Linked DNA regions of Drosophila melanogaster. The protein of the gene in region 1 interacts with the protein of each later gene in a pairwise test. Each region holds a gene or a part of one and is shown in the gene's direction. Other genes may lie near its edges. The genes, in order: Ubc4, sordd1 and CG32486.

Region 1 (10,725 bases):
ACAAAATATTTATTACGATTTATTCGTCGAACGTCGTACTTTCTTCAATTGGTTCTTAGGATCATAAAATATCAAGCTATAAGAAATCAGACTGTAAACAATTGTAAGTTGACACGACTCCTATTACCTTGTACAGCATAACACCTGGAACAGGGCATCCTAGCCTCGACTCTGCTCCGCCTTTAGTTCTTTCCGCTGCCGCGTACCTTGGTGTGCGTGCGAGTGAGTGCGAGCATAACAAAAACACACGCACACCGACGGAGCGCGTATCATGTCAGAAAGCTTAGCGCGTATTATAACCTCTATTTTCGTTTCGGTTTTCTTCCGTTTGCCTCGTTTGTTTCTTTCACCTTTTCACCTCCTCTAATTGTTTGCTTATGGGGCTTTTGTTTAATTTTATTAAAATTGGAAAAAACCGATGGAAAGTTGACACCAAATAAACTGAAAAGGGTGCTTGCTAGTGGGTGGGGTAAAAACTATGGGCGCCTTTATTTGTTATTTATTGTTGTTGTTGCATCAGCAGCTGACTGGCTGGTTTTGCGCCTGTGTGAGTGCGTGCGAGAGAGAGGGAAGCAAAAAGCGTGCAAGCCGCAAGTTTAGACATACACACACACGCACACACAGCTGCTAATTTAATTAAAAATATATAATAAAAATCATTTTCGGTTTCTTTGCATTTCTTGTCTAGGAAGATTTAAAAAAATTTAATTTAAATTTTGTGAAAATTGCACGCGACATTGGCCAAGCTTCACGTGTATGTTGGTGTGTGTGTTACTCTCACTCATACCAGCACAACGCCACTAAACACACACAAACACACAGACGCACGGCTATAGCGACAAAGACGGTGTACAGTCCACTTGTTAAATCAATAAAAATAAAAAGAAATCAAGCCAAAGGCAGGCCACAAAAATTCAGGAAAAATCATTCAGTTTTAGGTAATCACAAATTCCCATAGATTCCCATTGTTGATTGTGGCAGCGAAACGCCAGCAACCTTCAGCGAATGTCAAGGACCTTTTGAGCACATGTGTTTGCAGACCAAACACTTTTTCGTCAAACTCAATTAGCGCACTTTAAAAACACATTTGTCCGTTGTCGTTAAACACTTGTTGGTGGTCACACACGCAATTTGCGAAGGAAATTCTCCTGCAGGACTACTCACCAGGTCTCCAAGTTGCTGAACTTCTTCGTAACCACCTTGCCGAGATCGATTCCCAGGCGATCGACTATCCGCTGGGCCAAATCCGGATGCGAGGTGCCCGAAAACACTTTGATGTTCGGCATTCTGGAGTGGATTAAATTTAGACAACCAGCCTGTTTCTCCAAATTGTCTCGGATCAAACTTCTAGCGCGTATCGGATTAGCAGAGCGAACTGGCATCACACAATCTATGAGTAGAAGTTTTTATTATAAATTTTTTTCGCCAAAACGCGGGCAGCGACGTCGACGTCGTCGCCTTATCGGTGAGAAAGCAAGAGCGTAAAAGAGAGCAACGAAGCTTTTTGCTGCGCACTGCGCTCTCTTTCGCTCGCTCTTTCTGTAAAGCCACCCCAATTATCCCCCATTCCCATCCAGACCATGTGATTTTTCTACGCGTTCTCCAGGGAACTGGAAAGCTATCGATTTCGATTCCGGACTACTAAAGCGGTGCGATAGGTTTTTATAATTTTAAATATTTTCATTAATCAATTCGAATTTCCTAGTGTGTTTCTCAGTATAAATCTAAACAAGTTAATGGGATTGCACTATTACAATATTAGCCTTTCAAAAAGCAAGGATTTACCTATTTCATTGCAAATAATTTTATATTTATAATATTTTGGCTCGGTTTGCTATTAAATTTACATATGAACATGAAAAAGAATAAATATAAATTGCAAATTGACACTGATTATATTCGATAGATAAACAGCTTGTTGTCACACCCGTAAAATCTATGAGTTTTCTTTTAACATATAAAATATGCTGGCATGCCAACAGGCGCGCGCCAAAAAAAAAGCTTTTAAGGCTGAGGTAAACAGCTGTTCCACGGATGTCCCTCAGTTGGCCATGAAAACCTAGCACCACACACACACACGCGGACAGAAATGAAAGGAATGTGAATTCTAGGATATAATCTACGCACCATTCTGCTCGTTCTCCGTGCATTTCTTATCGGGCATTATTCACAAAACAAATCCCGAGATGAAGGTTCTGCGACAGGTAAGCGCCGACTATTTGATTGAACAACCCGTTTAATAACAAGACGCACTCAGCTGTTCTGCGCCAGGTAAGGTGAAAAGTGCACTGTTTCAGCGACAATGGGAGATTGGGATTAGCAGCCGCAGAGCGCCGCATCTGGCGAAATTGAGCGAGCGAATGGAACTGAGCGCCGTACAACATGGCGTATGCTTCTATTACACATACGCACCGGCTGCCCACACACACACACACCCATATTTTACGAGAGAGCGCAAGAGAGCGCCAAGGATGGGATGATGCGCAGTTAAGTTGATGCCACAAGGAAAAGCTTTCGGGACGCACTTTTCCTCTCTTTTTCGGAATCAGCTGTTTTCGATAGGTAATTTCCATAGAATTTTTAATACGTCATGTTGCAATTTTAGATATGTAAAACGTCACACAGAGCGAAAATTTCAATAATAAGTATTAATTTTTTTTATAAAATAATCACAGACCTCATTTCTAAAGTAAGACAAAATTGCGGCTTAGTTTCATTACATCTGCACAACTCAGTAATTTCTTAATAACACACAGATATGCAATAAAATTGTTTCATATATATTTCAATGGGTAATAAATTTCCAAGGCCCCATAAGACTGTCAATATATTTTCCTATTCATAATAACATAAAAAAACCCTAAATATCTGAGACAATAATAAACATTTAATGCTGCGTTTCCCACTTTTAAAACCTATATGCATGCGGCTCTTTTTGTGCACATACTTAGAAATTTATTTTTTGTCTGTGTATCTGTGCTGTATGCCGCTTTCAATTGGTTCTGGATAATTGTTGCTCTGCAAATATCTCTGCTATGTACTTTGTACATACCAGCAGAAATGTTTTGTTTTCTAGATCTCAAATCCGAGGTACAGTTCTTGCTTTTTCATTTCACGGGGGCTCGTCTTTGCTTTTGTTGCCCCCGAGATGTTTTCTTGTTGTTTGTGCAACTGTACCTGGGATGCTGAACAAACGAACGCGGCAGAAAAACACTGCGATTTGTTAAATTGTTATTTTCGTGCCCATGGCTAAATATAAATGAACTAATGCCAAATGCTGACGTACTCTTCTCCGTGTTTTATCCCTAAAAACTGACGCAAATGGCATTGCAAGTACAGGAATAATGGAGCCGTGGATAGCGGGTTGGTGGGGCAAAAACCACGTGCCGAATGCGACGCATGTTTTGAGTCGAGGCGAAAACAAAGGCACGCACACTTCAAAATCGAGTAGTACACCATACTGGACTTACTTGAAACATGTGAGGTAGCAAAGTGTCGCAATTACTTTTAAACTACAAACTATTAATCACTGAACGATGCGGTTTGTACAAGTTGGTCGAAAAAAACTTGTACTTTGTGATTTCACTTGGATGCAGCCGCTGCTCAGAAAATGCAAAAGCTGAATGAATCAGAACGCTTTTGAATTGAATTTAAGCGAGGGAAGTTGAGTTTCTGTTTATGGAGTTGTTTGGTGCGAGAGAGCAAGAGATAACGCAGAGGAGAGTTGATTTAATCAAGCTGAAGCATGGATACCCTTACGTTACAAGACAATAAATGTATCTTTTGGTTATCTGGTTATTTTATGGGGTAGGAAACGCATCCCTCTTCACACAGTCATAATACATATGCTTCGAAAGGGAATATCGGGGAGAGTAAAAGAGAACCGGCATATTTGTTTGTGTCGGTCACTCGTTTTGTTTTGTGGCGAAAGAGCGCCACAAAAGGGGAGCACAAACACGTGTGTCCAAAGAGTTGGAGAAGCAAGAAGCTCTTCCGTTTTAATTAGTCTCCGAATGTCTATTGGGTATATTTCTTATCCGAAAACTGTTGTTGCGTTGGCTCTCAAAACTTCCCCACACGCTTTTGCTGACACGTTTTTTTCTCGATCGCCATTGAGCTGTGCGAAACGTGAATTTGAGCAGTAAAAGAGAATGTCGACTTTAATGATTTTTCAGGTATGAAATATGCCCTCTAATTTTTTTGATCATATTTTTATTTTGTTAACATTCAACTTATTAATAAGAGTTTGCTGAAAATGTAATCCACTTAATTGTTTATCACTTAAAAATTTTTTAGGTAAAGTTCTCTCATATTGATTTAAAATTGCAATGTGAATAAAGTAACACTTCGTGTACCCCTTTTCCAAGTATAACCATTATAAACACAGGATCGTATGGCGCATAATTAATGGCTGTCTATTATTTTTGGACTGTTGCCAAGAGAGACCTACGCCTTAGAAGATTAAACTTCTTGTTTTTGTTTATGGGGCGCAAAACAAGTTTCAAATTTCCGACCGCAGACAAGGCGGGCGAGCGTAATGGAACCATATTACTGAGGTCAAAAGAACTTCGATTATATAATAAGGCCATGTATTCAGTATTCAAGATCAGAGACGCAATGGAAAATAACCTTTGACGTGTGCCAAGGAAAAGCTGCGGCTTTTTTATCCAATGGTACAAAAACCAACTTTGGAATTGATTCAGCCAATCATTGTAACGTAAATAGATTTTATCAACAAAGAGGTAAGAATGAGTACTTCGTGTATGGGGCTTAGCTGAATTTATTAGGAAAGTAGTTTGTAAATATGGTTATTTTTATGTAGATTTTGCTTTTGTTTCTTTTCATTTGTATTATCGAAACGAGTTAGGAAAATGTGTCGGTTAAGATTCCCAGATTCTGATATGTCGCCTTCAGGGAAACAAAGTCATCATGTCATCCAGTGGACATAATTGGAGGACCAATGTTAAGAAGAAGACTCCTCCTTAAAATGTTTAATAGGTTTTAATATGATTAAATAGTTATGAGTTGAGTGAAGTGGGTGTACCTGGGTAGTATTAAGGGCGTATCTAGGCAATATATGGCTCGCAGCAAGTAGCACCAATTCATTACGTCCCTATGTAATAGTTATTTATTCATATGCTAAACATTTGAACATTCGAACTTCGTTAGCAATTTTCGCGCTCTTTCCCCGAAGCCCTATCGATACGTCAATCGATAGGCGAGCTTTCAGAATTATCCGAATGCACCGCGGCGGTCACACTACGGAAAAACAAAAAAGAAATAGCGCTGGCAAAATAGACGTGCTGAGCGCTGTAAAAAGTCAGATTCGTGTTGAAATTGGAATAATAAGTTTTTTATTTTCCGTGCGCTGGTCGAGCTCGTTGCTTCGACAATTCGAAAAGCGATCGAAAGGAGCAACCTTGTAGGCCAACAGCCAGGCGTAATTTACGCAACGCACAACACTCACAAAATCCAAAATTGCACGGGGGGGCAACAATAAAAACAGAGGCAGAACAGAACACAGCAAGAAGAGCGTGGTGAAGAGGAGCGGCGGAGAAAGGAGAACGGTGAACAGGGAACAGGGAGAGAGCAGAAAGGAGAGTCCGAGAAACGGAGGAAACATCATGGCGAACATGGCAGTGTCGCGGATCAAGCGGGAGTTCAAGGAGGTGATGCGCAGCGAGGAGGTGAGTCCCGAGCTCCAAGGCCGAAGGACACTCAAACGGCACCTCGGCAATGCCAGCTGCACCACCGCCCCTGGTCGTGGTGCAGGGGGCGGGGGAGGGTGTCCGCGAACGTTGGTGGCGTTTTTGGCGCGCTTATGGGCTCCGTTTTCTTTGTGAAATGTAAACATTGGCCCCACTGATTTGTTAATTTGGCTTGTAATCCCTGAACAGATCGTCCAGTGTTCCATCAAAATCGAACTGGTCAATGACAGTTGGACGGAGCTGCGCGGCGAGATCGCCGGTCCGCCTGACACGCCCTACGAGGGCGGCAAGTTCGTCCTGGAGATCAAGGTGCCCGAGACATATCCCTTCAATCCACCAAAGGTACGTAATAGCCATGTCAGACTTTGTGCACCTATACAATATGCTAGCTTAGAAATAAACAACTCTTACATGAGTACACCTCATCTTTCAAAAATCGTATCTTATGACTTCACTTCGTAGAAAGTGACACTTCTATGAATCCACAATGTTAACTTGAATTCTGAAAGGCGCAATAAGAACCTGTAACTTGTAATTGAAACCTAAATAAATTGCAAACTTCTTCGCAGGTACGCTTCATAACGCGCATCTGGCATCCGAATATATCGTCGGTTACGGGTGCGATTTGCTTGGACATCTTAAAGGACAACTGGGCTGCAGCGATGACACTGCGCACCGTACTGCTGTCGCTGCAGGCGCTCCTGGCCGCCGCAGAGCCGGACGATCCACAGGACGCAGTGGTGGCCTATCAGTTTAAGGACAAGTACGATCTGTTCCTGCTTACGGCCAAGCACTGGACCAACGCGTATGCGGGCGGACCGCACACCTTTCCCGATTGTGATTCAAAGATCCAACGTCTCAGGGACATGGGCATCGACGAGCATGAGGCGCGCGCCGTGCTCTCCAAGGAGAATTGGAATTTGGAGAAGGCCACCGAGGGCCTGTTCAGTTAGCTTGTCCCAGCCGCACTAGCATCAGTACCATTCGCGGCGGTGGCAGCACCAAGAACACCGGCCAACTTCAGCATCAATCCTTCAGAACGGCAATCACGCTAAATTCTTGTACACTCACGCACCAATATATTTTCGTAAATCTTATCCACGAAATTACATTGCCCTGTAGTTATAATAATTCTCTGATCTGTTCTATAATTTTATTATGATTAATGTGCACATCTTTGCCGCTGGGTGGGTCACCAGAAGGTTGAGCCAAAGGCCATGCCCGCGCCCCATTGAGCATGTGGTGTTATGTAATTGAACCCAGGTTCTGTTTCATTAATTTACGTGCAGTCGCATTTACTTGCAGGCTCTTTCTTAAACAGTACTGTTGTTTTCCATTTCAAGCTTAAACTAAAACACAAACAAAAATGATTTACAAAACAAAATAAATGTGAAGGCGAGGAGTGTATAACAAATCGAAGTCTTTGTAAATTGCGTTAAGTTAATAAATAAATAAATAAAAATATTAATAAATGTCTAATGAGAAGTTATGATTTCGGTTTGTGAAGAAGAGGCTGCAAACTTAAAATAGATTTTTGTAAATCATGCCTAGACTGAAGAATGGAAAATGTAATTTACCCTAGATTGATTGAGATATGTAATGTATATTACTATAATTCTTGTTTAATCCATTTTTTAAGGCTCTGTCTAATGCCAAAATTGAAATAAAATCCAAATTCTTGGTGATTTACAAACCAAATAATTGCACAAAACGTGAAAGTAAAATAGAACCCATCGATATCATCCAGATATAATCATTTATATATATATTCTTCTACATATTCATTTAATTTTTCTACATTTCAATGTGAATATTTATGGTTTGCACTAAATATTTGACTAATAATCTGTCACTAAATATTTGGTCTACGATGCTTGCTGGCGAATCCAATAAGTTAATGACTTCACACATATAATACGAATTTCTACTTGTGCTTTTGCTTGGACATGACGGACACGGAGGAGCCACCAGTTGCAAGTGCGGATCCCAGGCAGCTGCTGTTGCTTTGAGCCACGGATGTGCCAGTGGCATTGGTTCCCTGGATCGTGTGATGGCTGTGACGTTGCTTGAGCATCTCCTTCCATTCGGACTCGAGTCGCACGTAGGAGCCACCAAGCGGTTGGGCATTCTGCACCAGACACTGATCCGTTCCGGTCTTTTTGGTCACATAATTGGCGACCTGTTTCATGATCTTCTCCTCGAAGTCGCGCTGATGATCCTGGTTGCTGCGCGCTGACAACTCGCCGGACCAAAAACGACCCGACACATCGGTGGGACTGGCCAAACAGTTCCAGGTAATTATTATTTCATATACATTCAATATTTCAAAATCCTTACCGCTTTCGTGATTTTTTGCCTCTAGTTTTCCTTGGTGGAGGACGATGCTCCGACTCGCAGCCATCGCTACTCGTACTGTAGTCCTCGTCGTCATCGTGAACGTTACGCATGCGTGGCCGCAGGCATCGAGCATCATCCTCGCTGGTGGACGTCGTCTCCGAATCGGTGCTGGTGTCCATTTGATAGCGAGATCCTCGCATCCGACGGCTCACACGATGGTTGGTCACTATGGAGCAGGGTTGAGTACGGAGCACATTACCTTCAAGCACACATACCCACCTCTCTTGAGCACACTGTCCATGCAGAGTTGGGGCAAAAGTCCCTGGCGACATCTTTGTGGCGTTAGGGAGATACCCTGCCAACTGGGACTGATCTCGCCGGCGGCGGCCAATTCCTGAATCCTCAATGGTGGCTGCTCGCACAAGGCGTAGTTCTCGCCCACCAACTGAGCAATGGCCAGGATGGCACGCTCCCTATCCGTCTCCACCAGGACACTGTGCTCGCGAAATTGGCAGCCCTAAAAAAGTAACGAATATTCAATGCAGTAGTATTAGTTTCTGGAAATATATATACATACATTTGGTCCCGGCAGCGTTTCGTAGCGGAATGCCTGCTGACCGCAGCAGGAGAAGCGGCCGGCGGGTCCAGCATTGCCCACGGGACCGAGGAAGTTGGGTGCCTCCGGATGGAAGCGACACCAGTGCATCTGATAGACCGGAAAATGAGCCTCGCACGAGCAGCAGTACAGGTAATGGCAGTGACCCCATAACTTCCAGTACACCTTGCGCCAAGACTTGAGCTCCTTGAAGAGCTGAACGATGTAGACATTAAGATCCCAGTTCGTGTCCCGCACGTGGTGGCTCATCAATTGGCCCCAGCGATTCAGTCGAATGTTGCTGGGCACACAGCTCACATAGGATTTCATAGTGTTGGTCACGCAATTGAAGCACCTGGAGCAACGGAACAGACCGGACATGCTGTAGAAGTGTCCCCTTAGCGCTTCCGGATCCGGTTCGCAGAGGGACTGAATCAATTTGGTCCACAGACGTGGTGTCACTCGCTCCTTTTTATCCCTGACCATTTCCAGCTCGAGATTCGTGAACATGGCCGCCAGTCGGCTGACCAATGCATCATTCAGACAGGACAGATTCGTGGATGTTCGTACAACTTCGCTGAGATGGGCATGACAAAAGGCCAAACACTCAAGGAGTAGAGGTTCCATCTGCAGAAAGCTGGCCGACACCAGAATGGGCACCACATTGTTGCCATCCAACTGGGGACCGGTGCTCTGAGTGGGAACCGGAAGATCCTGGCTTTGGGCACTGTGCTTGATCCACTTCATCAGCCAATCGAAGATAAGGATGTCGCAGTGCACCGATATGTCCATCTCCTCCAATCTCTGACCGGCAGTCACGTCCGCAAAGTAACCCATTTTGGTCACCAGCAAATGCTGCGGGCAGGTGAAGTCCTTCGAGGTGTTCTTCACCTCGTCGCAGACGTGGATCACCACTTCCGGCCTGTTAAACAATTTGAGTTACATATATATCCTGTAAATACATGGTACTTACTCCTTTCGCTCCTGCCTGGCATGTTTGCTATCCTTGACCAGCAGCAGAGATTTGCGTCTGCCGGCGTTCATTGCACCAGGCTTCGGAATCGGCTCCTTAATCATAGCCCGCACCATGCTGTTGGTGATCTGATCCGAATGTAGAGCATCTCCTCCGGGATGAGCCTGCTGCAGGCAAGGAGCCGAGGGAGTGGCTGCCGGCAGAGGCCCATGTGAGTGGCCTATCTCCATCATGGATTTCGATGCTCCCGAGGTGAGAGGAGCTGCCGCTGGAATGGGATTCGTATAGGGAGTGGTAGTGGCCGATGTCTGGGTGAGAAGCTCTTTCGGAGGCTGCAGCTGCTTGGGCTTAGTTTTGCCATTCTGGAGTTGTGTGGGCATTGGGACCGGGCATATAAAGGACAGAACAGAGTCCAGAACTCCCTCATTAATGGCCGCATCCAGTTGCTCGCCAAGCTTGGGATGCAATCCCCGATAGGTCGACTCTGGACGGGAAGAGCGGCCGTGGTGGCTGTGCCCCGAGCGCAATGTACTGGATTTCGCATCCTGTAGCAAACTAGAGCGACTCTCGTTGGAGCTCCTCGAGGGTCGTCGCAGTCCCAGGAGCTCGTTGACCAGTGGATTGTCCGCCAGTTCGGCAAAGTCGAACTCGTCCTTCTTGGTAGCTCTCTTGGTTGACACCGCACTGCCCTCCATCGGCGGTATCGGCTCCCTATTGTGTGGTTTTCCCATGTCGGCTTTCGTAATCATATCGTTCACATGACAGGATAGTTTTAGAAACTCTAGAAACTCGTTCAAAGTGATTTGAAACTCGGCGCCATTGCCGGAATCAATGGATTTCTGGGAGGGAGCCGCTGGTGTCTCCTCCGGCTGTCCAGCAGCCGAGGCTCCCTCGTCGGAGCCGGATTTCTGCATCCTGGCCAATGCAAAAATCAAAGGATATTGGCCATTATTGATTGATTGTTTCGTTGCTCGTAGTAACAAGGAAGTTACTAAAATGAAAAGCGGAAAAAACAATGCAACTGGTGACCCCAATTGATTTTTCAAGCTGTCCAGGAATTTAAGATTACCTGCACATTTAATAAATTGATTATTTTTCCTAAATATTACTTA
Region 2 (11,079 bases), on another chromosome or scaffold:
AAATATTGCACCAGGGCAATTCTTCGGTGTTGCCGGGCGACTCAGTGTTAATTGGACTAATTTCACTCTCGGAAGGTTCTGGTAAGCGCGATTCTGCTACATACTGAATGGGAATACGAAAGTGATGATTTGGCTTAAAAAAAATAATGCTACTATATAAATGCGAACCTTTTTCAATATGTTCTGTAGAAGTGTCTCGTCATCCTCTTCGTTGTCCGCGATACTTTCCATCTGGGATCTCGATGGGCATGCATCGGAATCGACGGGTGTATCGCGCAGAGCTCGCAGACGTCTCTCAATGTCGGAAATTGAGTCATCCCTCTGCCTGCTGATATTTTGATCCAGTTGGGCTTCGTCAACGAATTGTGCGAGCAAGTCCCTCATTTTCTCCTGATCGTTTCTTTGGTCGGTGGACAGTAGCAGATCTTTCTTATCGTAGCTTTTCGTATGCGGCATCCCAGTGAGATTGGCCAGACGGGTGCGGATCTCATCATCGGTGGCATCAACTCGTTTATAGTCCTGCATTCGTTTGGTCAACTCACTGTCCAGGTTCTCATCAATATGATCCTTGTGATCTTTGGAATGTGGTGACGAACTGGAACTGGGAACCAATGCCTGTGGCAGCTCCTCCACAGGCAGGCTGTCGCTGCAATTAATCGAATTATAGTTTCAGAATCGGTGTTTTAATGTGGTATTTTACTTACTTGAATAGGGCATCGGCGCCATCTGAACTTTTGGATGGAGGAGCCAGGTTCATTTTGGTGACTAAGATCCCCGGCAAAGCATCACAGTCTATAACTTTCTCGGCATCGGCGCTCGCCTGGAGTTTGGATAGTTTGTCGTAGCATATGAGGCACACATTGTGCACCTTTCCTGCATGACGGGGCACGGGCATTGGTCTCTTCAAGCACTTGGAGCAGAATGAGTAGCCGCAGTTGGGGCATCCATACTAAAATTTCGGATTTAACACAATGTAAGTAGGTGATATATGTTGGTTTGCTTTGGTTTGATGGCACTTGCCTCCTTGCAGAATAGGCCATATTTGCGACCGCAGCCAAAGCAGCTCATTGCAACCAGAGTCACCAATGGAACATATAAATTGAAAAAGTTTCAAATTTCGTTTGCTTTGTTTTGAAAGAAGCCAGTTCTAATTAGGGATGGTGTACAGTGTACAGTGGGTGAGCTATCGATTACGACTTAAACGCATTAGCGTTCTAAAAATCAGCTGTTCCTTGTTTTGGTTTAGTCTAATATCAATATTATTAAATTCTTGAGCTTTGTTGTGACCAGATCGTTAGGAACTAGAGATAGTCGAGTGAGTCCTGGTATCGATTGTCCATGGCACACAACAGCTGTTAATGAATAGTATTTAGTCTTGTAAATGTATTTAGTAGTTTATTTTGTTTACAAATCAATCGAGGACTGATCACTGATCACTTTTCAAATGATTCATTGAGATCCGAGATTTTTCACCTAACTCGATAGTTATCTAACGCGAGCGTGGACTTTGGTCCGGTGGAGACGGGCTGTTATACAGGCAGCTATTTACCGATAGGGTAAAGGTCTATCGGCCTCGGTCAGGTATCGTCAGTGCAATTGTTTTGAGGTGCTAAGACGTCAATTGATTGACTTGTCCACACAATCAATTTAGCAACATTCTCTGATTCGGTTTAACAATACTTAGCACGGCAAGTAGAAGCAAACAGTGAGCGAAAACAAACAATAAAATGAGGGCAAACAAGTCAGGTTTTGCAAACAATACACTTACAATGTAAGTAATTTTGAGAAGTTATACTATTTGCTGTGCCACAGGAAGTTATATATAGTTTAATTAAGTTATAATGCGTTTAAACGCAATCCCTGGAACTCGATGTATATGAGCATATAATTCCCCTTGACTCCAATAGGAAGTGCTCCATGAAAACATTATGTGACATCTATACGTACTGTATAAATAAGCATATAATCGGTTCCAATGTACATATGTAACAGGTAGATGGAAACCTTCTAGCCCTATATACACGCGAGTGTTTGAGTGTGTAGATGTGTACATAAGTACGCACATAAGTCCAGGTACATATGCAGGTATACCGTCTTGTTTGCCAACGCAATTCAAACAAAATTTGACTTTTTTGTTTAATTTATGTGGGTGCAGCCAATGGGAATGTTCGGTGCATTATCCTTGAAGACTTGGTGGTAAATACGCCCTTTGGGCGGTTTTCGTAGCCATAAACACCACCCCATGGGGTCGGACAAATGCTGAATGCTGCGGAACTCGGGGGAAACCCCCTTCAAACTGCGCTTGAAGTATTTAATTAAATTAAGTCATATTCAAGAAAGTGCGGACCTTAGTTGTACACCAGAAATGGCCTAGGAAAATCATCTAAGCAATCTAGGCACTTGTCAATAGGGTGAACACAGACTTACTTAGCAAATTTGGGTTTCTAAATCATCCAACGTTACGTTGCAGCTTGAACGACTAAAACTTTACCCGCATCTTGGGCAAACCATGGAGGAACCGAAAAGTGTATCCACAGCGGAGCTTCCCAGCACATCAACCGGGGCATCGTCGTCCTCATCGACTTTGTCCAACAACGTGAGCTACGACAAGATAGCCTGGACTCGGGATATCACAGAACCCTTGGCTGAGGAGTCATCTACAAGTCAATTGCGCCCGCTGGGTACCTCGATTCCAACCAATTCGACGGCATCGGAACTGAAGAAGTCCAACACTTCGTATTCCTTTACTGGAGACTATCTATCTGGTGGCAATAAGGCCGATCTGAAGGGTGGCTATCCATTCGGCGGCACCGATACGGACACAAAAGCCAACGAAAAGGACAAGGAGAAGGAACATACCGCAGACGACTCACTCTACGAGTGCAACATATGCCTGGACACCGCCAAGGATGCTGTGGTCAGCATGTGCGGCCATCTGTTCTGCTGGCCGTGCCTGCATCAGTGGCTCCTGACGCGTCCCAATCGCAAACTCTGTCCCGTTTGTAAGGCTGCCGTTGATAAGGATAAGGTCATACCGCTGTACGGAAGAAATAGTACACACCAGGAAGATCCACGGTAGGTTTGAACCGCTTTCAACATGAGTATTTTTCAATAACCCAACTTATATGTGTTTTGCAGTAACAAAGTTCCACCACGCCCCGCTGGACAACGTACAGAACCAGATCCTGTTCCCGGGTTCCCTGGATTCGGATTCGGCGACGGATTTCACATGTCTTTCGGTATTGGAGCTTTTCCTTTCGGGTTCATAACATCTAGGCTCAACTTTTTCGAACCACGTCCACCTGGTAGGTTACATGCCATCTCAATAGTTCTGAGATTGACATTAAATAACATTTGCCCATGTATTTAGCTGATATTAGAAGGCTACACGAAGATGAACCCTGGGCCCTGTCAAAACTGTTCTGGCATTTTGTCGTTTTTGTGATATATGGGCTGCTCGTTCCAATAGTGCACGGATCATCCCGATAAGAAGAACCTATATTCAAATGTCAATGGAAAGCGTGCGAAGTAATCAAATAGCAGTATCCTCCAGTTAAATCAACAATATTGTTAAACTCGTTGGGCTATAGTCGTTGGTGTGATTAATTAACATAAATTGTTAGCATTCGGTTATAATTGTAATTTGAGGATTCGCAAAACAGAAGTGGATTGGGTCCCAAATTATTTCAAAAAGTCTGCAATACCCTACGACTTCAGCATAAAAAACTGAAATTTCGAAATAATTGGATCGTAATGATTTAATTCAAATGTAGATTTCAAAAATTGTATAAATTTATATTTTAAATTCTATAAAACATTAAAAACATTTATTTTAATTTATTTTCCGTGTAGATTATTATCGATGGGTGAAAAAAATCATTAAGTTTTTGCTTAACTTAAACTGCACAACATTCTTTTTAGGGATCAGGGATAACGTGAATTTCGAAGATGCTGAGGATATGGATGCATGTATGTACATGAAGATATCGGCTTATCTTGAGTATGAGATGTATGATATATGTACCTTCTACCGATCGCTCTAGAAGATCGCCTCCTTTAAGTGGGCCAGTTTGTTGGCAATGGAGGGGGACGCCTCATCACTGGCTCCATAATTGGCTGTGGTGATGCGCTCCACCTCCTGGGAATTGCCGATAAAGGATTCTGCTCCGTGCCAAGAAGCTCACTGCAACCAGAGTCACCAATGGAACATATAAATTGAAAAAGTTTTAAATTTCGTTTGCTTTGTTTTGAAAGAAGCCAGTTCTAATTAGGGATGGTCACGTGATTTCTGCACAGTGGGTGAGCTATCGATTACGACTTAAACGTTTATAGATGCATTAGCGTTGTACAAATCAGCTGTTCCTTGTTTTGGTTTAGTCTAATATCAATAAAATTATTGAATTCTTGACCTTTGTTGTGACCAGATCGTTAGGAACTAGAGATAGTCGAGTGAGTCCTGCTATCGATTGTCCATGGCACACAACAGCTGCTTATGAATAGTATTTAGTCTTGTAAATGTATTTAGTAGTTTATTTTGTTTACAAATCAATCGAGGACTGATCACTGATCACTTTTCAAAGGATTCATTGAGATCCGAGATTTTTCACCTAACTCGATAGTTATCGAACGCGAGCGTGGACTTTGGTCCGGTGGAGACGGGCTGTTATACAGGCAGCTATTTACCGATAGGGTAAAGGTCTATCGGCCTCGGTCAGGTATCGTCAGTGCAGTTGTTTTGAGGTGCTAAGACGTCAATTGATAAATTCCCAATTTTACCGTAACATAACACACTTGTCCACACAATCAATTTAGCAACATTCTCTGATTCGGTTTAACAATACTTAGCACGGCAAGTAGAAGCAAACTGTGAGCGAAAACAAACAATAAAATGAGGGCAAACAAGTCAGGTTTTGCAAACAATACACTTACAATGTATGTAATTTCGAGAAGTTATACTATTTGCTGTGCCCCAGGAAGTTATATATAGTTTAATTAAGTTATAATGCGTTTAAACGCAATCCCTGGAACTCGATGTATATGAGCATATAATTCCCCTTGACTCCAATAGGAAGTGCTCCATGAAAACATCATGTGACATCTTTGACATCTATACGTACTGTATAAATAAGCATATAATCGGTTCCAATGTACATATGTAACAGGTAGATGGAAACCTTCTAGCCCTATATACACGCGAGTGTTTGAGTGTGTAGATGTGTACATAAGTACGCACATAAGTCCAGGTACATATGCAGGTATACCGTCTTGTTTGCCAACGCAATTCAAACAAAATTTGACTTTTTTGTTTAATTTATGTGGGTGCAGCCAATGGGAATGTTCGGTGCATTATCCTTGAAGACTTGGTGGTAAATACGCCCTTTGGGCGGTTTTCGTAGCCATAAACACCACCCCATGGGGTCGGACAAATGCTGAATGCTGCGGAACTCGGGGGAAACCCCCTTCAAACTGCGCTTGAAGTATTTAATTAAATTAAGTCATATTCAAGAAAGTGCGGACCTTAGTTGTACACCAGAAATGGCCTAGGAAAATCATCTAAGCAATCTAGGCACTTGTCAATAGGGTGAACACAGACTTACTTAGCAAATTTGGGTTTCTAAATCATCCAACGTTACGTTGCAGCTTGAACGACTAAAACTTTACCCGCATCTTGGGCAAACCATGGAGGAACCGAAAAGTGTACCCACAGCGGAGCTTCCCAGCACATCAACCGGGGCATCGTCGTCCTCATCGACTTTGTCCAACAACGTGAGCTACGACAAGATAGCCTGGACTCGGGATATCACAGAACCCTTGGCTGAGGAGTCATCTACAAGTCAATTGCGCCCGCTGGGTACCTCGATTCCAACCAATTCGACGGCATCGGAACTGAAGAAGTCCAACACTTCGTATTCCTTTACTGGAGACTATCTATCTGGTGGCAATAAGGCCGATCTGAAGGGTGGCTATCCATTCGGCGGCACCGATACGGACACAAAAGCCAACGAAAAGGACAAGGAGAAGGAACATACCGCAGACGACTCACTCTACGAGTGCAACATATGCCTGGACACCGCCAAGGATGCTGTGGTCAGCATGTGCGGCCATCTGTTCTGCTGGCCGTGCCTGCATCAGTGGCTCCTGACGCGTCCCAATCGCAAACTCTGTCCCGTTTGTAAGGCTGCCGTTGATAAGGATAAGGTCATACCGCTGTACGGAAGAAATAGTACACACCAGGAAGATCCACGGTAGGTTTGAACCGCTTTCAACATGAGTATTTTTCAATAACCCAACTTATATGTGTTTTGCAGTAACAAAGTTCCACCACGCCCCGCTGGACAACGTACAGAACCAGATCCTGTTCCCGGGTTCCCTGGATTCGGATTCGGCGACGGATTTCACATGTCTTTCGGTATTGGAGCTTTTCCTTTCGGGTTCATAACATCTACGCTCAACTTTGGCGAACCACGTCCACCTGGTAGGTTACATGCCATCTCAATAGTTCTGAGATTGATATTAAATAACATTTGCCCATGTATTTAGCTGCTAATCGGGGAACAAGGCAATACGAGGATGAACAGACCCTGTCCAAGCTGTTTTCGTATTTGGCCGTTGTGTGGATATTGTGGCTGTTCTATGCATAGCAATCTGCGAACGCATAAAGACATCACCCCGATAAGAAGAACCTATGTTCAAATGTGTATGGAAAGCGTGCGAAGTAATCATATAGCAGTATCCTCCAGTTAAATCAACAATATTCTTAAACTCGTTGGGCAATAGTCGTTGGTGTGATTAATTAACATAAATTGTTAGCATTCGGTTATAATTGTAATTTGAGGATTCGCAAAACAGAAGTGGATTGGATCCCAAACTATTTCAAAAAGTCCGCGATACCCTACGACTCCAGCATAAAAAACTGAAATTTCGAAATCATTGGATCGTAATGATTTAATTCAAATGTAGATGTCAAAAATTGTATAAATATATATTTTAAATTCGATAAAACATTAAAAACATTTATTTCAATTCATTTTCCGTGTAGATTATTATCGATGGGTGATTGGGAGCGATTGAATCAATAGGAATAAAATAAATTATGGGTATAATAGAGGGGCTTTTAAAAAATCATTAAGTTTATTGCTTAACTTAAACTGCACAACATTCTTTTTAACTTGAAATGGCCATTGCCTTAAGAGCAAAAAAATAAAACACAAAATAAAACTGATGGCTACTTAAAATATTTTAGCTAAGCTAGGCGTTCGCCGAAACGGATTCCACGAACTGGATGAAACGCTGCCAGCGGGTCGCGAACTAGAGGATGTTTTCAGGTGGAGCTTGGGCTTGGCCGCAATACTTGTGGGACTGGGAAATCCGGATGAAATGCCCGATGAACTGGCCGCCGATAGCGTTGATAATGAGCCCTTCGACGACAATGGCTGTGCGTAAACAAGGTGAATTTGTTTGCTGATTTTTTACGTATGATTAATAAACAAAATGCACCTTCAAGTAGTTGCGATCCATGGGCGTTATCACTCTCAGCTCGAGTGTAGAGCCGCAGGATTGTATGAGCTGCACCACCTGCTGATGGGAGTACCACTTCACGTCCACGCCGGCTATCTCGACTATGAAGTCTCCCTCCTTGATGCCGCCAAGCTGAAAATAATGCCTACAGTATACGACGAATCGATGGAAGTAGCATTTACTTACGTCTGCCAAAGAATTAATCTCAACGTGGGCAATGATCACCGGAGCATCGCCGCGCACATGGAAGCCAAAGTTCTCAAACTCCTCCTTGTACAGATTGTATCCACCATCGTGCTCCTCGTCATCATCGTTATCCAATGGGCACTTGTTGTCATTGCTGGGCACGCTGTGATACAGGGAGGAACCTTTCTGGAGACGCACACATCTGGGCGCTGTCCAGTGGCGTCTCGCCGAGAATATTGCAATCGGGCCGAGGCGCTTGAAGGGATCCTTAACCTTGTGCGATGTGAAGTCGGGTCCGGTCAGGGATAACGTGAACTTCGAAGATGCTGAGGATATGGATGCATGTATGTACATGAAGACATCGGCTTATCTTGAGTATGATATATGTACCTTCTACCGATCGCTCTAGAAGATCGCCATCTTCGATATTTTTGGCTGAAGCTTGCAGTCTGAACTTCTCGAGCTCCTCCTGCGATTTGGAGTGCACCTCCTTCATGACTTCAGTCAGTGATGCCTTGTTCTTAAAGATTAAAGTTAAAGGTTAGGTTATTAGGCTATAGGATATAAGAAGTATATTTACCTTCAAGAACCGACACATCCGCTGCAATCGCTGGGCTTCCTCGATACTGGCCAGCGCCTCCTTTAAGTGGGCCAGTTTGTTGGCAATGGAGGTGGACGCCTCATCGCTGGCTCCATAATCGGCTGTGGTGATGCGCTCCACCTCCTGGGAATTGCCGATGAAGGATTCTTGGTTCTTTTGACTTGACTTTGATGCCTTCAGCTCGTCTGTCGCATCTATGCTCCGTGCCTTGTAGAAATGTGCGAATGCTGTTGGCGTTTACAATCATACTTTAGAATGAATATTCCCATTTCGAGGTGATAACCAATTCTACCTTTGTAGAGTTCCGCCTTGACTGGCACTAGACCGGCCCAGCATTCCGGAAGATAGGTGTGCGTATCGTTCGCCTGGATATTCTTGTGCATCTCATTGTACTCGTGCGATATTTGAGCAGCCTCGCCAGCCAGATCCCGAAACGCCTGGCAATCGTGCTGTATGGTTATATAGATGGTAAAATTATGTAACTACATACTATATACTATATACTATATACTATATATGCTGACGGAAACTCACGCTCATCGCCTCGATCTGCAGCTGAAGCTTCTCAAAGAGGCATTCTCGTGCCTGGGAAAGCATCAGGGAAACGAGCACGTCCAGGACCTGTGGCTTCAGGTCCATCGATGGTGCATTCGTGAACGTATCGTAGATGTGACGAAAGACCCCGGCGGCCCGTAAAAAACTATCCACGGCCAAGTCAAGACCCCGTTCCGTCGTGCGATCGTGTCGAGCGCCGATCTGTGTATATATGCCGCCCAGATTGAACAGGGTGCAGGCTTTCTCGAACGCGATGGTCCGCTGGCACGAGGGAACTCCCGTGAGCGAGTCGTACCACTCGAAGTACACGCCCAGGTTACGATCCGGCGGAAAGAAGCGACGCTCCACGTAATACAGCGTGTTGTAGTAGCGGAAAAGTAGGGCCACTCCCAGGGCATCTCGTGACGGTGTTTTGGATGCCTATTAGAAATTTTTCGCATTGGATTATATGTGCATAAAATTCTTATATATGTACGAGGCATTACCTGTCTCGTGTCCGTCATATCAGCTATGGCATCTATGTACATCGAGGGCTCCTCGCTGTAGTGTTCCAGGATGAAGTCGGAGAAGGGTTCCATGAAATTGATCTCCTTGGTTTCCTTCAGGCCCAGCGGTATCATGGGCATAATTCCATTGTGACTAGAGAGTATTAGAGGATTATTATTATAATACCATCAAAGGAATGCCTTGTAACTGCCTGCTTCCTTGAAAGTTAGACCTTGTGGTGGGTCTTCCCACCCAGTTTCTTATCCTAGGAGCGGGCTTATTAGCTCACCTTTCGCTCTGATAGATTTCCACCGACGAATTCAACTCGGCCAGTTGCTCCTTCAGCAGTTGCAGATTTGAGTTGACAAAGCTTAATTCCAAGGCAACTGTGTCGCGCAGTTTGCGATTCGATGTGGCCTAAATATATATATATATATATATATATATATATATATATACATAAAGATATGCATTTAGTTTTGGCATGGACATACATATGTATGTTCAGAGTGATAACGGAAGGTAAGGTAACGCACCTTATATAGATTCTCGGCACCAGCTCGAAGGCGGAGTTCCTTATTTATTTCTTTGTTTAATTTGCATCGCCTGTTTTGGAGTTTGCTACGACAAGTGGCAGCTCGTGGATCTGAACCCTGGAAACAGGATGCTATATGATTATATCGATTGTATCTAAATATATATATATATATATAAATATATATATATATAGATACGAATTTAAATCTATATTGTGGAGATATTTGGCGGATTCCTGAACGTCATTAGCCATGATAGCGATCCCTTAAAGTTATGACTCAGTGTTCAAAATCAAATATTCCATAACAAAGCTTTTGGGTGATACAATCATTTATGGCGTTTTAGGTGATAACAATTGCAATGGAAAATAATAATACTTTTACAATATACATGAATAATACCACTTGACATTTTTCGAATCGCTAAGTGCGCAAAAACATAAATAAATAAGATTGCTATTCTACACTTACCCGAACAAAACAAAAGGATAACTCATTGAGCTTCTCGTCATCCTCGTTCTCCTCGTTTTTCACCACCCTCGTCGACAATTCGTGTTCCTTTTCATCCATGGTTCAAAGATCCGAAATCCGAAATGATTATGATCCAAAAGGACTGCCAATAAACACTGGATTACTTTTCAATTTGTGGGTAAATGATGAAATAATAACAATACAACCTCCCCCCCCCCCCACCGAACTATTCACCACACCGCATATAGAGAGTTCTATAATAGACTTCCGACCTTCAAGACAAGACCAAGATCATGAAAATCCATGCAGCACTTGTTGTCGCGTTATGAATGGTGTAACTAACTATTATAACACGAGCTGCTCGTTTTTCGTATGTATGCACAACATGAGTAGCTAAAGATAGAACCGCATTTCTTCTTCTTTTTTAGCTTTAGGAGGTCAAACTCATCAATCGCCTTAACGGTTTTCGATTCGAGCGAGCCATTTAAGCAGCGCCAAACATCAACATATTATAACCGTCATGGCACTGCTCCAGGGCAAACTCAACTTGAGATATCGTGAATAAACACATTGGATTGCAATGGCATTATTTAATAGAACATTAGAGACTTACAAAGTGTCCGAATATTAAAGGGTTTGAGCATAAACGAAGACTTAAACATGTCAAGATCATAAAAGTCAGTTCATATCTATAAAAAGTGTGTGCCAAGAACTGGAATTCTGGGA
Region 3 (10,966 bases), 6.6 Mb from region 1:
TCGTCTGAGCCTCTCTTGTTTACGCTCGGCCCAATCGGCCCAAAACAAAGGAGGGACAAGCGAAGATGGAAGGAGCGAGTTGGTAAACCAGTTTTCCACCGCACTCGACCAGAACGGACGCCGTCGGAAAAGGAAGCGGAGAAGAAGGAGTGAGTGGCAGGGCCATCAACAGGTAACCCAGTGCACCTACAGGCCACGCAGCACCATCCAGAAGTAACCAGCGCCATCATATTGTACCATTGTCCATCCTATCAGCATCATCGTATCACCAAAGTCAATGTGTTTCCGTCAGCTGCCGTTGGCCTCAGCTCAGCAGGCCAGAAAGCCAGAAAGCCAGATGAACCGAAAGCTCGAAAGGAGCTGCCATTGTTGATAGCGCTGTAATTCTGGTTCGCTGTTGTTTTGATCGGTCTGAATTTTGGGCTCTGCAAACGGGTTTGCGAGTGCATTCATTCAGCCCAGCCAACCCCCTCTGCCACCTATTACCAATTTACTTAGACTGCTTGGTTGTTGTTATACCCTTTCTTGTAATTCGGAGATTTTAACTTGGCTAAGATGGCTTAAAGCCATCTAGCTTAATCCTTCGATCCCAAATTGGTATTGCTACCGCTTTTTATTATTCGTGCAAATTATTTTTATTGAGAAATGTGAAACAGAATCTACTTGGTAAAGAATGATTGTGAAAAACACCCTGAATGTCCTAGGACATCCTGTACAATATCCTTTCGACGATCAAATATTTATGGTATAATGGGATAATATGTTAATGTTACACTGTACAAAGTCACCCTAAAGAGAGTATCCCAAGCTTCAGTGCCCGTTGGAAAGCAGCCTTTGTGCTGGTCTCATTGTTTTGGCTCTGGTTTTGGCAAAGGGCAGGGAAGCGAGGAAGTGGTTTTTCCTGCCGTACCTGTATGAGTTTCCCTGTCTCGGCCTCTCTATGACCATCTCTTTCGCAGGACAAAGAAAATGCATGAGGAGAATGCAGAGTGTGTGGAACTTGTTCCTGATCCCAGAGGGGTTGCAAGGAGCAGTAAATGGGAATCTGAGCGTTTCCAGGAATAACAAAACGATAATCGATGGTATTGCAGCGAGGAATGTACGTAATTAAAGGGAAGTGTATAGATTGTTTTGGGGCAGATTGATTATGCCAAGATTCTCTGTTCTAGGCCGCTACTCCATCCCGTCCCTATCCCTCTCTCTCTCACTCTCGCATTCTCTGCCTACTTATCTCCTTCGCCTCCTTTGTTCCTCGGTCACGTCCATGTAATTGCCAATAATCACAATATGCGCTTCGGTAGGAAAATTCAATTTACATGCCGCCAGTGGAGAGAAAAAACAAGAGAGGCGCAGAATTGAATTACAGGATGACCCCGGTGAGAACGCTTATGAAATATGCCAAAGGTGACTTTCAATTAAATGCCACCCAGCCAGAGGCGTGCGAAGGATTTAAAAAGGGGCAGATAAAATAACGTACTAACCGATCAATATAAGAAAGCTGATCTATGATTAATCACTGAGTTAAGCTCATAAACATACCAATTTTATTATTACAATCATAGAATAACTATGTATATGAACAACTTGTTTGATGGGGGGGTCATTTCACCCCGCCAACCCCTCTCCAATACGCTCCTGCCACCAGCTGTGGTTCTGCTCTTACGTTCCCTGTCTTTGCTTGTGTTTGATTTCCTTTGCTTTTCTGGCTTTGTTTTTGCTTACCTGCCGGGAAGAAATTGTTCAAGAACGTTGACATTTTTCTCTTTCGCTCCCGCCTTCGCCAATTCCTCGTGCGCTCTCTTTCTTTTCGTGGTCCTTCTCGTTTCGTTACGCTTTGTTTTTGCGTTTGTTTTCGTTTTAATGTGCACTGAGTTAAAAACTTTTTCTTGGTTTTTTCGTTTTGTTTTCGATTTTTTTGTAGTTCTTTTTAATAATTTTGTAGAAAATATTGAAACAAAAATTTAAATAATACATACAATCCGCGCTTAACTGCTAAGTTTCAAATAACACATTTTCACATTGTACGTTTCGAAAATATTTTTTTCTTTCACTTTTTCACGTAAGTTTCTTGCAGTTGAAATGCATTTTCGGGCAAATGATTAACAATTGAGGCGCGTCGACTGTAAAAAGCGAGAAAGAGAAGAACATTGAATTAAAATAAGTAACGGTAAGCGAAAAACAGTTGTTTGTTTTTGCAAAACGGGGCGACAAAATGAAATCCCGAAACGCAACAGTGAGTGGGAGTGAGAGGGCGGTATAGCTTGGATTTCATTAAATTTTCCAAAGTGAGTCTGTGTGGGTGTACGAGGACGCTTTTTCCTACACATATACAGACACAATTGCGCGCATATTTGCTTACGTTTTCCACACTTTTTTTCATTTCGCACTTGGTTACTCATATTTTTAGAGTTTTATATTTAACACCATCCAAAATACATACACACTGAACCTAAGCCAACATATTGTGTAGTTAATTGCCTGTTTCATTGTTAGCTTTTGAATTGCTTTCAGTACCGTAATTACTTTAATGAGGATATTTCCTTGAAAGGAGCTGCTGTTGCTATATTGTATACATTTTCATTACCATTTTCCAACGATTTTGCAAATAAGAAAAACGCAACACACACACCGCGCGATTGGCGCTGCACGAATGAAGAAAACGCAAAGAAGATCCAACAGCCAAGCCAAATGGAGTCCACAAACGACCCCCGAGTGTTGTATACATGTACGTCCGTCTGTGTGTGTGTGTGCACAGGAGGTCGGATAAAAACAACAACTGCCAGCTGTGTGTGCAACAAAGTGGATGTGGATTCCATTCGAGGAGTGTTGGGAAAACATCCGCGCTCAAGGGGTTACATGGACTTTAGCTATTGTTAATAATTTTAATTAACATATATATCATTTTATGCAAAGAAATTTAACAGATTGTATAAAGTCCCTCATGTTTTTCAGCTGATAAATGCTGGATATGAAATACGTATTCTTTCAAAGAGAAATCCTTTGACACGCTACTGAAGTTCCATTATTGAATATAATGTAATAAAATAACTTTTAAAAATGGCGAAACCCCTTTATGGTATTGTAACACTTCACCTTCAAGTGGCCAGGACGTTTTGCAGAAACCCTAGCAATTGGCGTTGTTATACACACATGCATATATACACAAAATAAATACATATACATATGTAAGTTTTTGGCTGGGGGGAGTTCAACAGGACCCAACAGCTGGCCACAGGTTGCGTTCCACATAGAGAAATGTGGGAGCCTGGGCTCCAAACGCGATCCACACTCCAGCCATATTTGTGGAACGCGACAAACAGCTGGCTAGGAAAAGGGGAAGAGGACGCAAAGGGGAAGGGAACGAAAAGAAGGGGAAGAGAAAAAGCAGGAGCAAAGGAAATAAGAACACATATGTATACGATTTGTTTTTTGAGTGGGAACAGCTGGAAATAATTAACTAAGTTCACTAAGCAAGCCAAAAGCCAATTTATAAGTGTAGTTTTGTTACAACGTTTTTGGAAATATTTTTATTTTAATTTTCAAAAATTTTCATAATAATTGCACGTGAATTAAAAGTCAATTCATTAAGTTTTTATTTTCATTAAAGTTTTTAATTCACCACCGAAAATGAAATTGAAGCCATCTTGGTCACCAAATTTTTAAGACGCAATTTGTCCAAATGGTTCTTATAACGCAAGCCAGATAGCAAATACGTATAGTTTTTTGTTCAACACGCCAACGATTTGTTTTTGTTATTTTTCAAATTGATGCCGCTGTTGCACACACACACACAAACACAAAAAATGCCAAACACACAGCGCACAGCGAAGTGATACAAAAATGTCTGCTGAGAAAACTGCGATTTTTCGCTCTTTAATCCACGTTTTCCGTACCTCCACTGACCAGTCATAGTTCACTTTGCGAGAGGTGACTTCATAAAGAACCTGCCGTTTGTGTTTTGTCAAACTTTTGTACATTTTAAAGACAAAATCACAATATTTAATTTCTTACATGTTTTCCGTTTGCCGCAAGCAGTGTGACCGCATCTCGCGAGTGACGAGTTCCGTACTGCCGGATATAAGGGCAGCACATTAAACACGAATGGATTCGTTTTCAATAATATACTTGTAAAATTATATATATGAAGGCAGATTTTGCTATATTATTTTAATGCTATTTTATTTTGAAATGGTTAATTTAATAATATTTGTTATTTTATTACTTTGTAAAGGGGATGGTGTCCCTGCTAACGATCAACCAGGGCTGGAGAAACACAGACAATAGAAAAACATCGATAGGCTTTGCCAATAACATCGATACGTTATACTAGTATTTTGCCTAATATAAGATTTGGTCACACCGCACAACACTCTCTAGAAAGACAACAAATTTTTTGGCGAGCGGACGTGTCGGCGGACAAAAAGCTTGCAAACAGAACAGAACGGAAGAACACAGAAGAGAACGACACGACACGGACAGCGGGGAAAGGTGGCAATTGAAAGAAAGTGCCATACTTAGTGTGCGAGCGAAAGAGAGAGAGAGCAAACTGGGTATTGCTTGTGTGTGTGTAGTAGTTTAGTGGTCGTGTGTGTGGGAGTTTGTGTACGAAGCGAGTGGCAAAGAAAAACACAACAAACATTATTCCAAGAAAATTTCCAATCATGTCGGTGGAATCCTCCAGTTCGGCGGTCCAACAGCCGCCGTCGTCCTCGAACCTACCGCTCCTGGGCGACAACCAGGCGGTGGCCACGACCAGCTCCGCCTCCTCGGCCTCTTCCTCTTCCACATCGTCGTCCTCCTCGTCGGTGGGCGGCGGCAATGTGGTGGGCGTGCCGCTGGACACGCAGGGCAGCGGAGAACCGCCGGCCAAGAAACAGTTGTTGGACGGAGGGGGCGGTGGTGCCACCAGCAGCAGCGGCAGCAGCTTGCTTTCCAGTGCCGCAGCCGCCTCGGGAATGCACGAAAAGCTGGCCCACCGCATCTCCAATGCCCTGTGCTGTGCCGTCTGCCTGGATTTGCCCAAGACGGCCATGTACCAGGTGAGTTTTTGGATTATTTACAGCGGCTTGAACTATAAGCCCTTGTAAACTAGAATCAAAAAAAGGAAGTAAGAGCTTTAAAAGCGAAAGAAGAAAAACAGCAAGTGCGCGTGTGTGTGTGCGCCTCATTCTGTATACAAACAAATCGTGGCAGCTCAGCTGTAAGAGTAAAACACCTCTCTCCCTCTCTCCACCCTAGCAAGACACAGCTGTGCGAGAGCGAGACGTCTAGCTGGGGCGCTCTTGCATTATTCGCCTTGAAAACATTGAAAGAGTGCGAGGGGGAGCGAGGGCGGGAGTTAAGTCCGTGATCGAGGGTGGAGCCTTTTGTGAAGATATGATGTGTAAATGTATGAAGGTTTTTAAGTTTCAGCAGATAGTTGTAGTGTGAAGATTTCCAATAAAGAATACGACTGACTTTCTTGAAGTTCAAAATCAGTATGAAGTTTATTGTCAGAGAGTGGCTACTCGAGTCCTCCGTTTTCGTCTTATACATAAGTACATAGGTTCTTAATTGTAAGCATAATGAACATGCCGACTCGGCATGTGGCTGGCTAGCTGGGGACAATGTTGCAGTGCGACTTTTGTGTAATGTCAGCATTCGGCCGGAATGTCAGCATTCGGCCGGATGCGGTGTTCCAGTTGCCGTCTTCCCGGTTGAGTGTCCGATGATTTGTTTAGAGGCGTGGGGGTTTAGGGGGTGGGGTGGTAACTCCTCCCCCCCCAGTTCGAAGTGACGGCCATAGCGAAGGTATGGATGACGCGTAGATTGGTACGTGATGATCCTCGTGGATGTGGACGATGTGTTTCGTTCGTCGGTGCAGCCATAAGATGACTGCTAGGAACGTTACCAATCCGAGCAGAGTGTAGAGTGTCCAGGTGTGCTGTATAGTATTGTGATGGACGGCCAGGATTTTATCCATTGTTTGGGTGGCTTCGAGGTGCAGTTTTTCTAGGCTTAGTACCGTAATAGTGGTATTCCTAGTTACTTTTCGCATGGGGGGAAGATCAAAATCCGTCTGTTCAGGGAACGTGTCAACCGTGCCGTCGTAATCGATACCGTTAATCTGTATTGTTTCGTTAATGTATCTGATGATGGCTGACCCCATTATTGAGAGCTCGGAGCCGTTTGTTAGGGATACCTTCAGTTTGTTCACGTTGAATGCGAAGATGTAACCTCTCTCTGCCTCGAACACGTCGGTGATGGGGCCGGTTTCCCGTACATCGCAGGAACTGTTTTCTCCGTTCAAAAGGTGTTCCAGGCATGTGTTGTTCTGTGGTGTATCAACGTAGAAGTTCTCGTCGCACAAGAATGTATTATCCAGTTTGGGGCATTTACGGGTCATATGAAATTTCTTATTATTAATATTATAAGCTAGGTAATTTGGGGTTATTACAAAATATGTGTTATTTATTGGTAATGGAACTAGTCTGGCGAGGGTATGAAAAGGTTGTTTAAAAATTGGGACTTTGATATTAAAAATAATCTTTTGTTCGTAATTTAGTGTATTCATTTGTAGGAAATTGTATATACTTTGTTCATTTTTGACTGTGATATTTTGTTTTTCCAGTATTGTTTTTATTTTATCCATTTCTTGTTCATTTAGGATGAACTTGGGAATTATATTTATTTTCGCCAATAGCATACTTTCTGTTATGTCGTTTAGGTGGTTAATGAATAATTCTATGTTATAATTAATCCTATTTAAATATTGTATTTCTTCCAGAAGGGTATCTTGTAAGTTTAAGTGTTTGTATATTTTGTTTTGTGAGGTATCAAAGAATTTACTTATCAAAATTTGTTCATTATTTATATGGTCCGTGATATTTTCGAACCGGATAAGTATTTCGTTGTTAAACATTACTTGTTTTTGGAGATTGTCGTTACTGACTTCGGAATTTTTCTTTATATTGTCAAGTTCTTCATGTATTTCTTTATTGTCGTTGGCATCCATGTTGCCGGTAACCACCTTTACTAGACTCCCCAATCCGTTAATCAAACCCCGTTTGTTTCTATATGAAGGTGTAAGGGCTTTGAGCTTTACTTGGGCTTGGGTTAATTTGGTTTTTAAAATTGTGACGGAGTCCGTCAACGTGGAATCGGGGTTAAATTTATTAATGGTCAGATGGAATTGTTCCATACATCTGCTGTAGTCTTGTAGGTTGATTACATGACTAATTATTTTGTACCTCTCAATTAGTAAGGCTTTCCCTAGTTCTATCTTGGCTATAGGGGCGTTATCATTTAAATAATGGACATGGATAGCCTGAGTTGGCACAAGGGTGAACCTGAAATGGTAAGTTAAGAGGTAGTGGGGTCAGTTATTATCAGTGTTGGGTACGTTGTTGCTTTTGTCTTTTTTCAAAACTGTTTTTCGAATTTTTGATTTGTGTAGTTTTTGATTCCTAGCAGTTATCAATGTATGACCTTTGTCGTGTTTGACTTTGTGAATCGAAAACCTGGGTGTAATCTTATTACGTCTGTTTTCCTTCCTAAGGACTAAAGTGTCTGGTTGTAGGTCTACGGGGTCTGTTCGGGTTTCATTTAATTTTAGGGTTCTCCTAACTACGTCATTTGAAAGTTTGTCCGTGATGAGGGGGTACAACTTCTCGCGAAATTCATTTAATTTCGTTAAGTAGTCGTGTTCGTTATTGAACTGGATTGTTTGGTTGAATATATGAGTACGTCCGTTAAATAGTTCAAAGGGGGTATGTTTAGTTGCAGAATGAATAGCGTTATTATATGTGATTAGGGTTTCGGACATTATCTCGTCATGCTCGCTACTGAGTTTCTGTTGTTTCCTGACGTCAAGTATTATTCTGTAAATCTCAGTTAGTGTCGAGTGAAGCCGTTCAACGGGAGAGTTACTAGAGGATTGTTGAAAGGACGTAACGTGTAGGTCAATGTTAAATTGAGTGCAGAACTTATTGAACATATCGCTAGCGAATTCTGCTCCCTGATCATAGATCAGCTTTTTGGGAATACCAAATTGGGAAATGAAATGTTTTAAGGCTTTAACTACGTTAATGCAATTCCTATTAGTTATAGGGTAGGCAGCCGCAAATTTAGAAAATTTATCGATAATAGTAAGGTTATAATTTTTGTTAATAGTATAAATGTCTATATGTAAGATGTCCAACGGTTTTGAAGGTAGTTCGGATATTTGGTAAGTGATCTTTTGAGGTTGTCTGTCGTATTTTAATTTTAAACATGTTTCACATTTTCGAATTAACTGAGTTATTCTCTCCTTCATATGTGGGAAGAACTGTTGTCGTTTTATGTGTAAATATGTTTCATCGATCCCTCGATGGTTACTATTATAGTGATAGTCGGTTATAATTTTTTCGATCTCCGTACTATCAGTAATTTCGGGGAGGAAGATCAAACATCTAATGAGTTTAAATTGACTGTGGGCTGAGAAGTAGGTTTGGTAGGCTTGTTCCACCATTTGAAAAATGTGGTCGGGGGCAAATACCGCGCATGTCTTGTTTGGTTTTAACGACTGCCTAAGAATGCAAACTACGTCGTCATACTGAAAATTGGGTTTACAGAATTCCCTCCTAAGTTTGTGTTTAAACGGGGTCAGTGTGGCGTTATTTGTATCTGGGGTTATTTTGAACAGGAGCTGAATATTAAAATCATTAAGGGGTTTCTCTGAGATGGGGCAAACATTTTGAGGAATTGATAGGGCTTCGTTATGGTTGACAGAGGCCTCTGGTCTACTGAGAGCATCAGCAATTACATTTTGAGAGCCTTTCTTGTAGACGACTTCGAAATCGTACTCCTGAAGCTGGAGTCTCCACCTAACTATTTTAGAATTTGGTTGTTTGAAATTCATTAACCAAGTTAGTGGTTTGTGATCGGTGATTATAGTGAATCTCCTGCCAAAGAGGTAGGGTCTGAAGTATTGGACCGCCCATATAATGGCCAGCATTTCCTTCTCAATTGTGGAATAATTTGTTTCCGCAGCCGACAAGGTTCTACTAGCAAAACATACGGGCCTATCACTATGCACCGGACCTTGGGATAGGACAGCTCCTATTGCGAAATTACTTGCGTCCGTGGTTAGTGTGAAAGGTTTTGTAAAGTCCGGGTATTGGAGGATTGGGTCGTTAGACAGTAAGGTTTTGCAATATTCAAAGGCCTTTTTGAATTCATCATCTATTATGATCGATTTATTGTTTCCCCTTAATTTTTGTGTCATGGGTTGGGTAAGTCTCGCAAAATCTCTGATAAATTTTCTGTAATATCCCAACAAGCCTAGGAAAGACTTAATTGACTTTTTACTGTGGGGACATGGAAAGTTTTTTATAGCTTCGATCTTATTGGGATTTGGCCTAACACCTTCTTGTGAAACGATGTGGCCAAGGAATTCTGTCTCCCGCCTGAGGAAGTAGGATTTTGTGAGTTGGACTTTAAAGTTGGCAGATCTGAGTCTTCCAAAAATAGTTTTCAAGTGTATGAAGTGTTCTTGTAAGGAGGTTGAGAAAATTATTATATCATCTAGGTAAACTAGGCAGATAGTTCCGATAAGGTCTCCAAAAATATTGTCCATCACCCTTTGGAATGTGGCTGGGGCATTTTTGAGGCCAAACGGCATTCTAATGAACTCGTAGTGGCCCCCCTCTACTGTAAATGCAGTTTTGGGTGTGTCGTCGGGATTCATTTCTATCTGATGGAATCCACTTGCCAGATCAAGTGTGGAGAAATATTTGGCTTTGCCCAATCTGTCTAAGATATCCGCGATGTTAGGTATTGGATATCTATCGGATATAGTCTTCTCGTTGAGTTTTCTATAATCGATAACTAGACGCCATTTTTGCTCTCCCGTAGGAGTGATTTTCTTTGGGACGACCCAGACGGGGGCGCTCCACGGGGAATAACTGGATTTGATAATGTCCTGATTTAACATTGCCTCTATTTGTTTTTTGACCTCCTCTTTATGAATGTAAGGATATCTATAAGATTTTGTATGAATGGGGGTGTCGTCCGTGGTTTTAATCGTGTGTGTAATCTTGTTGGTGAAGGTCAATGATTTGTCTTCATTGTAGAAGATATCTAGATAACTTTTGCAAAGTGAAAGTAGGCTTTGTTTCTCTTCAGAGGAGAGGTGATCGACGCCAAGGGCTTGTAACGACGCTGCGGAGTTTTGGGGCTGTGGGGTGTCTGAAGTGATACTGAAAAGTTCAACATTGTTGGCCGTGGAGTATGGCATGCCTTTTATCGGGCTCTCGAGGTACAATAACTGATCCCTCTCGCTATAGTTTGTGATAACGAAATTAGCAATATTGTTTTGGGCATTATAAATCCCGTCTGATATTATTAAGTCATCATTGATTGTAATTGAATCGATGTAGAAGTCGCCCTGTTTGGTTTCCACTGGTAGTGGCAAAATAGTTTTCGTATGTCCAGAGATATTAAATACGTTTGAAGTTGAGTTACTGTGGGTCCATAAGGGTATAATGGTACTTGGGGTTTTTAGATTTAGGTTAAGTAAATCTATTTCTGTTTTTAGGTAAGATAATAAGTCCATTCCTATCAATCCGTCAAAATAAGAGTGGAACTTGAAAGGTAGAAGGGTCATTTTGCCCGTGATTTGGAATTCCGGTGGAAATGGTATAGAGACGTTTTGATATATTTTAAAACTGTTCAGGGCTGTTTTGAGTGTTATGGGCGTATCTAAGGTCACACAGTTCCTAGGGTCGACATATTTTGGGTCGATGAAGGAGTGTGTAGAGCCTGTGTCAATTAAAAACTTCAGGGGGTTTGTCTGGGATAGTTTGATTTTTATAAAAGGAAGCGAGGGGTTGTGCGTGGCTGGGCTTATGTACCCTGTTGGTTTCCCGAGGCCGTTTGCTGAAAATTCGAATCAGGTTGAGGGTTCTCCTCTATATTATTCAAACTATGTGAAGGTGCTCGAAAGGGG

The links.
Region 2: the proteins of Ubc4 (region 1) and sordd1 interact in a two-hybrid assay, tested with the Drosophila melanogaster proteins (2 studies listed by BioGRID).
Region 3: the proteins of Ubc4 (region 1) and CG32486 interact in a two-hybrid assay, tested with the Drosophila melanogaster proteins (2 studies listed by BioGRID).

The regions. Positions count from the first base shown.
Region 1 is NT_037436.4:9,693,069-9,703,793, forward strand, and holds Ubc4 (ubiquitin conjugating enzyme 4), read left to right. Parts: upstream 1-5,267; 5' UTR 5,268-5,624; coding exon 5,625-5,687; intron 5,688-5,897; coding exon 5,898-6,050; intron 6,051-6,277; coding exon 6,278-6,661; 3' UTR 6,662-7,413; downstream 7,414-10,725. Other genes in the region: Prps (phosphoribosyl pyrophosphate synthetase), read right to left, coding at 1,165-1,390, 2,128-2,164; CG6761 (uncharacterized protein), read right to left, coding at 7,633-7,984, 8,046-8,271, 8,325-8,562, 8,623-9,562, 9,614-10,527. UniProt on the Drosophila melanogaster protein: Catalyzes the covalent attachment of ubiquitin to other proteins.
Region 2 is NC_004354.4:15,789,663-15,800,741, reverse strand, and holds sordd1 (suppression of retinal degeneration disease 1 upon overexpression 1), read left to right. Parts: upstream 1-4,713; 5' UTR 4,714-4,740; exon of another isoform or gene 4,741-4,932; intron 4,933-5,166; exon of another isoform or gene 5,167-5,255; intron 5,256-5,325; exon of another isoform or gene 5,326-5,581; intron 5,582-5,640; 5' UTR 5,641-5,679; coding exon 5,680-6,245; intron 6,246-6,308; coding exon 6,309-6,475; intron 6,476-6,540; coding exon 6,541-6,641; 3' UTR 6,642-7,021; downstream 7,022-11,079. Other genes in the region: CG15602 (uncharacterized protein), read right to left, coding at 1-103, 169-646, 705-949, 1,021-1,068; sordd2 (suppression of retinal degeneration disease 1 upon overexpression 2), read left to right, coding at 2,510-3,075, 3,139-3,305, 3,371-3,489; Rhp (rhophilin), read right to left, coding at 7,230-7,433, 7,498-7,650, 7,705-8,030, 8,095-8,224, 8,285-8,532, 8,598-8,754, 8,840-9,280, 9,346-9,499 and 3 more.
Region 3 is NT_037436.4:3,064,235-3,075,200, reverse strand, and holds the start of CG32486 (uncharacterized protein), read left to right. Parts: upstream 1-4,361; 5' UTR 4,362-4,661; coding exon 4,662-5,039; intron 5,040-10,966.